Linked DNA regions of Canis lupus familiaris. The protein of the gene in region 2 purifies or fractionates together with the protein of the main gene of each other region. This does not show direct contact. Links are inferred from orthologs where the notes say so. Each region holds a gene or a part of one and is shown on either strand. Other genes may lie near its edges.

What was found.
Region 1: the proteins of HIP1R (region 2) and PICALM fractionate together in Homo sapiens (co-fractionation; 3 studies listed by BioGRID and IntAct, with this or other methods). This does not show direct contact. The link is inferred for Canis lupus familiaris from reciprocal best matches to the Homo sapiens genes HIP1R and PICALM.

Annotation. Positions count from the first base shown.
Region 1 is NC_049242.1:13,530,177-13,534,423, forward strand, and holds the start of PICALM (phosphatidylinositol-binding clathrin assembly protein), read left to right. Parts: upstream 1-1,393; 5' UTR 1,394-1,775; coding exon 1,776-1,905; intron 1,906-1,968; exon of another isoform or gene 1,969-2,223; intron 2,224-4,247. UniProt on the Homo sapiens protein: Cytoplasmic adapter protein that plays a critical role in clathrin-mediated endocytosis which is important in processes such as internalization of cell receptors, synaptic transmission or removal of apoptotic cells.
Region 2 is NC_049247.1:6,853,806-6,856,474, forward strand, and holds part of HIP1R (huntingtin-interacting protein 1-related protein), read right to left. Parts: intron 2,420-2,669; coding exon 2,312-2,419; intron 2,182-2,311; coding exon 2,045-2,181; intron 1,793-2,044; coding exon 1,682-1,792; intron 1,408-1,681; coding exon 1,349-1,407; intron 1,118-1,348; coding exon 1,087-1,117; intron 1,004-1,086; coding exon 941-1,003; intron 586-940; coding exon 485-585; intron 378-484; coding exon 272-377; intron 162-271; coding exon 38-161; intron 1-37. UniProt on the Homo sapiens protein: Component of clathrin-coated pits and vesicles, that may link the endocytic machinery to the actin cytoskeleton. Binds 3-phosphoinositides (via ENTH domain).

The DNA of each region.
Region 1 (4,247 bases), on a different chromosome or scaffold from region 2:
ACTGTATGTTCTTGGCAAACCATGGTGCTGCAGAATTTCACCAGCCATAGTGAAAAAAGTGGGGGGAGGGAATGGGAGAAGACCACAAAATCTGTGATATGATACATAAAATGTTAACTATTAGCTTTGCATCTTCTGAGAGTCACCAGATTGAAGCACGGATTTTGGATTTGGCTGGCAGATGGCGTACACAGACTTTTGGAGTATGTTAGCATTTCATTTGAAACTAGCAAGATTACGTAGGACTACCACGGTAATTTAACATTCATAGAGATTTTAAAATTTATCCCTAAACTTGAGATAAATGTGGCCCTAGTGACATTTTAAAAGGCTCTGTTAAAGATATGCATCTCCTAGAACAGATTCACAGGACAGTTCATTTCTCTACAATGTCTACAGGTCAGTGTCCGTGTCTCCTCTGAAAATCCGGTTTACCCAAGAGAAAAAAGGCCAAAGGGAAGAAAGACTAAAGCAGGGGGTGATGGCAGGTAGTGATGTCTCAATTCTTTGAATGGGACTTCTCCATTTGCCAGCCCTCTCACTTCCTTCTATGGTCTGGACCTAAGTCACGAAGGCACTCGGCCTTGTAGGGTCAAGCTAATTTGTTGACATCATCCTACTACTTCCCTTTTCAAATTCCAGTGAAGTTATGTGTTTCCTGTCCTATTTGACACCCTACAGAAGGAATACAGGCCGGTTAGTCTCTAAATTTAGTCCGGCAGCAACGTGTCTGAGTCTTCAGAGGAGAAATAAACAGAAACGGGTGACATTTCCAAGCCTTTCAAGAAAATGGGGGGGGGGAACCCCATCCCTTCTGGAGTAGGGAAGCAGGGAGAGCGTCAACAATTCCACGGCAGGGAGAGGCCTGCTGGCAGGCTCAGGAAATGGGCCGAATGAAGCGTCTTCCTTTTCCGTAAAACCAGGCGGACGCCTTCGGGGGAGTCCCTCAGCAAAATCTTGACTCGGCCACTGAAGTCCCGGGATCCGGAGCCCTTGCCCGACCCTGGCCCAGGCGGAGCTGCGAAGGCAGCCGCACCTCCTCTTTGTCAGGCTGTTGGTTTCAACCACCCGCACCAGGAGACCCTCGGGGCGGGAGAGGGGAGACGCGGCCGAGGCGGCCGCCACCTGCCCCCGCCCGCTCCCGGCCCGCCGCGCCCGCCGCGCCCCTCCCCCGCCGCCCCTGCCCTCTGTGACCCCCGCGGCCCGCCTCGGGCGACCTGTTGGCAGGGAGCGTCACGTGACGCGGCCGGCCGCGCGCTGCCCCGGGGCGGGCCTCCTGTTGCGCCCGCCGGGCGGGTTCCATCACGTAACGCGCGGGCGCCGCCCCGCTCTTCCCTCGCTGAGCGAGGGGAGGGCGGGCGTCGAAGAGGAAAGGGAAGGGAAAAGGGGCGGGAGAAGGCGGCGGAGGGGCGGCGCCCGAGTCACGTGACCCGGGACAGCCCGGAAAGCTCCGAGGAGGAGCCTGGCGCCGCCATTTTCCTGCAGCTGCCTGTCCCTCTTGCCCTGCCCGGCTCCAGCTGACCAGGGAAGGGGTGGGCTGAGCTGAGGCGGGGGCAGGGGAGTGCCCGACACCGTGCCTGACCCCGCGGGTGACACGAGCCGGTTCTTTCTGGGCTGGGTGGCAGCGCGCGGCCCTGAGCCCCGCCCCAGGCCGGCAGGCGGAGAAGGAGCCGGTGGGGGTAGGGGGTGCGGTGGGGGGTGGGGGTCCTCCGGCGCTTGGGGGTCCCTGTCCCCGCCGGCTGCCGCGCGGGAGGGGTGGCGGAGGAGCCGCAGAGATGTCCGGCCAGAGCCTGACGGACCGAATCACCGCCGCCCAGCACAGTGTCACCGGCTCCGCCGTCTCCAAGACAGTATGCAAGGCCACGACCCACGAGATCATGGGGCCCAAGAAAAAGCACCTGGACTGTGAGTGAAGCCGACCGCGGCCCCCGACCCCGCCACCCGCGTCCCTTCCTTCTGTTTTCTTACCCCCTTGTGCTGCCGCCTCCTCGCCGGCGCCTCGCCTGGCGCGGCGGGTCCTGGGCCGCTCCGAGGTGTATTCTTCTTTGCCTCCATCACACCTGCCTTCACGGCTTCCGTTCCCGGATAAGCCACTCCCCCGCCCAGGTGCCTGGGGGACCCTGGCTCTCCCGCCCGGGGCGCCGCGACGCCCCGTCACCCCGTCACCCCGACCGACTTGCCTCTCCACCCGGCCTCTCCGCGCTCGCTGCCGCCTCTGCCTGTGCAGCCGCCTGCCCGCTGACCCCCCGGCGCGCTCCCTCGTCGCCCTCTCCTGAACGTCTCCGCTCGCTCCCGGCCTCTCCGCCCCCATTGTTTCCCCGTTAGCCTTCGGGTTCCGTAAACGCCCGGTTCCGCGGACCTGGATCCCGGCTTCTCCGCGGTCCTGGAGGCTGCCTCGGCTGAAGCGATCCCCACTTCCTTTGCTCCTCCGGCCTCTTCTGCCCCTTCGCTTCTCTGGTTTTTCTGTCCTCTCTCATTTTGGGGTTACATTTCTTTGCATCCGTAGGTTCAGTTAGGTCCCTTCGTCTCTTTTTATGTCAGATGCATCCTATTCAATAGGACTTTTATCCCAAATTACTTTCTTTGTGACAGTGAAAGTAAAGGTTTTCCGTTTGGGTGTTGGGAACGCTTTGTGGGAAGCGTTTAATTGCCTCTGGTGGAATTTGATCATTCTATTTTCACGCTTTTTAGGTAGTTGTGCATGTCAGCCCCCCCCTCCTCCGCCCCCCATATTTCTTTTTCTAATGGGAATCTGCAGAAGGATTGGCTGATAGTGGTATCATTTTCTGGAACTGTTAACCCTGGCGGTTTGAGTTTAGAAGGTTTAGTATGAAGTGTAGGTTATTGGAATAAAAGATGGATTAACATCAAACCTACGGATAACATACGTTCTCTTTAAAAATGCAGAAAAGGTGATTGATGATGCTCGAGTTCAGACTGCTTTTTACTTATGCTGGTTATCTCGGGGGACCATTTTCTCTTAACCGGCGTAATATTACTCCATTCACTAACTTACATACAATTACCATAGCTGACTCCTCCCAACTTTTTCCAAACCTGGAAGCCACTTGTAATATCCTCATTTTTCTTTTCTTTACCTCGAGGTACAAAGCTCAGTGGATGGTTACTCAAGCTTTGACTCAGTGGAGCAGCCTAAAACTTTTCAGGAGAAAAACAGGGAAATAGGCACAATAATAAATTCCTTTTTAAAATGTTAACTGGACACACTAGCCTGAATTTTATTCTACATCAAAGTTAACTTTGCTTTACTGTTTGAAGCAAGAGTGAGCATGTCCTGAAAGGGAATTCACTGACAGGAGTCCTGTTTTGATTTCTCATTTTGGACTTTGGCCGTAAGGTCTGCATTTAAAAAAAAAAAAAGTACAAAATGTGAATTCTTTCAAGATACTTTGCTCATGAAGTTCTGTTAGAACAAGTTATTGCTACAGACAAACCCATTATTCATTGTGACTTGTTCCTTCTCTGTGGGAAAGTGAAAAAAAAATAAATCCTTACTGCTTGGTTTTTCTCTAATGCGCTGATCATACAGGCTACTTTTTAACTGTCAGTCCTTGACTGTTTAGAAAATGTGGAATATATTTAAATGATGACACTTTTGTAAATGGAAACTTCTTTAAAATGAATTTGTGAAGCCAAATGTGATTTTTTTATTATCTGATATTTGGAGTAGACAGCTTTACGGTTTACTTCCTTTCAAGTGACTACTTGGCTTGCTGTAACTAATCTTATGGTTTGCCCTGAGACTGTCAGTTTTTGTTAGTTGTTTTTTCTTTTTCTTTTTTGGTTTTGGGGGTAGGTGAAGAAACTACTTGTTACTGTAAGAACTAGTTTCCTCTCTGCTCACTTGAAAATGATACATTTTAAAGAAATGTATGGCTTTTATAAGTCTTTATAAAGGTTTTTGCAGTATTTTAAATGTAGCAGTAGTCATTTTAACACATGTCAAGAAGGGTAGAAAATAGGTTAAATAGGGTTAGGAGAGTGATATTTTCTTGTGGTTTTATTAGTGCTAGCCTTTTTCTCATGTAATAGCAGCTACTGTACATGCCAGTTGGGATTAGGTTTGGAGGGTAAACTCACGTTTGTAGTTCTCTACCACAGTTGTGTTTATAAGCTTCCACTTCAGAACTTGAATATTCCTGATAATGTGTGATTTTTTTTTTTCTTTAAAACCATGTAAGTTGCCACTACTGGAGTTCCTTTCAGTAAGGTTTTAAAATACTCTT
Region 2 (2,669 bases):
CCACCCCCACCCAGCTGTTACCAGGACCCACACTCACCTCTTTCTTCAATCTGCTCCTGGCCTGACTTGGTAGAGGCCACCACATTGGCAGCCATCTCGTTGACGGTGCGGGAGCACTCCTGGAGGCGGCTCAGGTGGGGGCTGCGCTTGTCCGCCTTCACCTGGGGGCACGTGGGGGCAGGTCAGGCTCACCCCCCCCTCATCACGCGCACTTCCTGGCACAGCCCAGAGTCGAGGCCGAGGCTAGAGGCCACGACGCACAGAGCTTCACCTTGGAGGCGGCCACAAGCTGGGCTGTGCTGGCTGCGATCTCGTGGGAGCAGACGATGAGCTCTTCGTACTTGCCCATGTGGAGCACCACCCTGTCCGCTGACTCCCTGCAGACAGAGCCGGGCAGGGCCTGGGTCTCCGAGCCACCGCCACACTCCCTCCCCGAGACCCCGAGCACCACACACCCTGCTGCCCCCCCACCTGGGGGACATACACCAGCTGTGAGGCTCCCCAGCCAACAGCCTTGGAGGCAGAGATGAGGCCTTCAGTCCACCGAGAGTTCTTGGCATAAAACTCCTGCTGCGTGGCTGCCCCCTAGTGGCGACAGGAAGGCAGGGAAGGGTGGACCAGTCAGTGATGTCACGGGGCAATGGATCCCCACAGGGGATCACCTCGTCCACGAGGGGACATCCGTGGGCCATGTGGGAGATGCAGGTGTGACTCGGGCACATTGTGTGCATTCTGGGGAGGGGGGTCCTCATCACTTCACACTCTGGGAAGCCCATACCCAAAGGAGCCCGGAGGTCAGCTGAAGCCACTGGGGATGGGGGATCCTGGATCGTGGTCTGGGATGAGGAGGGCTCTGAGGTCACGCCCATTTCAGGAATCTGGCCCTTGCTGGCCCAGCCTCGCGGCCTGACAGGAAGGGCCCTGCTCACTCATCACTCACCCTGCCGCTCTCCACAATTTCCTTCTGCAGGCTGGTGGATGTTGTCACCAAGAGCCGGATGGCCTGCCAAGACCAAGGCACAGGTCATTCTTGGGGCGGCTTTCCCAGGCACACCATCCATCCTGGGATCCCAGCCAGCCACTCACCTTCATCAGGTCTGTGCAGGAATTGAGGATCCTGAGGGGGAGAAGCAGCAGGTGCAGGTGAAGAGAGAGAAAAGATTCTACAGGGTGACCCCAGGGAGTGTGACCTCTGAACAACTACCAGGCCTGACACAGGTGCTCAGCAGGGTGGGCCCATGGGGCAGGGTGTGCTCTGATTGTTTCCAGTCCCCTCTGGAGAGCTGAGCAAGCAGGACAGAACACCCTGGATTCTGGGGGGACGGGGGTGGAGGGGCATGAGGCTCACCTTTCATTCACCTCCAGCTTTACCCCGGAGCTGGCATGGCGAGCCTGGTTCATCATGTCCTACACCCAGTGACAGAGCTGTGAGCAGGCTGGGAGGGGGGCAGTGTGGGAGGAAGGGGGATGCGGTGCTGGACCAGCCCCATACCCCCCAAACAACCACCCAGCTGGGGCGGGAGAGGAGGAAGAGGCTGGAGGGAGACAGGGCAGGGGGTGCAGGGGGCAGCTCTAGGCAGAAAAGCCAGCTGCAACCTGCAGAGGCCACCTGCCCATGCACAGAAGGGGTGCAGAGGTGGCCACAGCTTACATTTGGCCCAGCCCAGCCCCCAGTCGTCACCTCAATCCTCCTCACAGCATCTTCAATGGCCGCGGATGTGGCCGCCATCTCCTTGTCCACCATGGCCCCAAGCTCCTCCTGACGCACATCCAGGCTCTTGGGCTTCAGCTCCTGGGGAAGAGGGCATGTAGGAGTCAGACCGGTGGACTGCTGAAGGAGTCTGGGAGAGGCTAGAGCAGCAGCATGCTGGGGGGCGGTGCTCTGACCCTGCCCAGTGTCCTCCAGCTGCCAGCTCTGCACAAGAGCACCTGTTCAGCCCAAACTAAAAGGAGGTGCAGAGAAATTGGGGACCCAAGCCTCACCCCAGGATCATCACCCCTCCAGACCCCAGCCCATGCTCAGTGCCATGGCTGCACACCTCACCTGGCCCAGCTGAAGGATGCCTTGTAGGGGGTTCCCCACTAGGCTGGGCTGGGCCAGGGGCAGAGTCTGCTGCTCCTGTAGGAGACCCAGGAGCTCCAGAGCCCGGGCCCCACACTCCCGGCACGTGTCCATCAGGCCTGGGGAGAGAGCACTGTCAGGGGGCCAGGCACCTGGGAGCCCTGGAAGAAGGCCCCGCACTGGGTCTGACACAAGGACCCTGGGTCCCCTGTGGGCACCGTGTGTGAGTAAAGCCCGGCGCGCACTTACGGTCAGCATGGTCGGTGGGGGCCAGGTGGGAGGTGGCGCTGCCATTAATAATGGTGTCTGCAGCCAGGTAGGAGAACTGGGTCAGGGCTGCCACCAGCACAGAGGTATCTGTGTGGAAAGGAGAGACAAACCCTATGCCACTGCCACGAAGCAAGGCCCAGACTGGGGCCTACAGCAGGTTGCTTGTGTCCTCTGCCCAGCAAGCCTAATGGGCACCACAGCTCCAGTTTATGGAGAAGAGGCAGGCTCGGAGGGGCCACAGTCAAGTGGCTAGACCGCAGCCAAGTAGGGAACAAAGCTTTGTCTGAGTGACCCCAGGTTCACAGAGCGGGCAGGACTGGGCTCCCAGTGGGTGTGG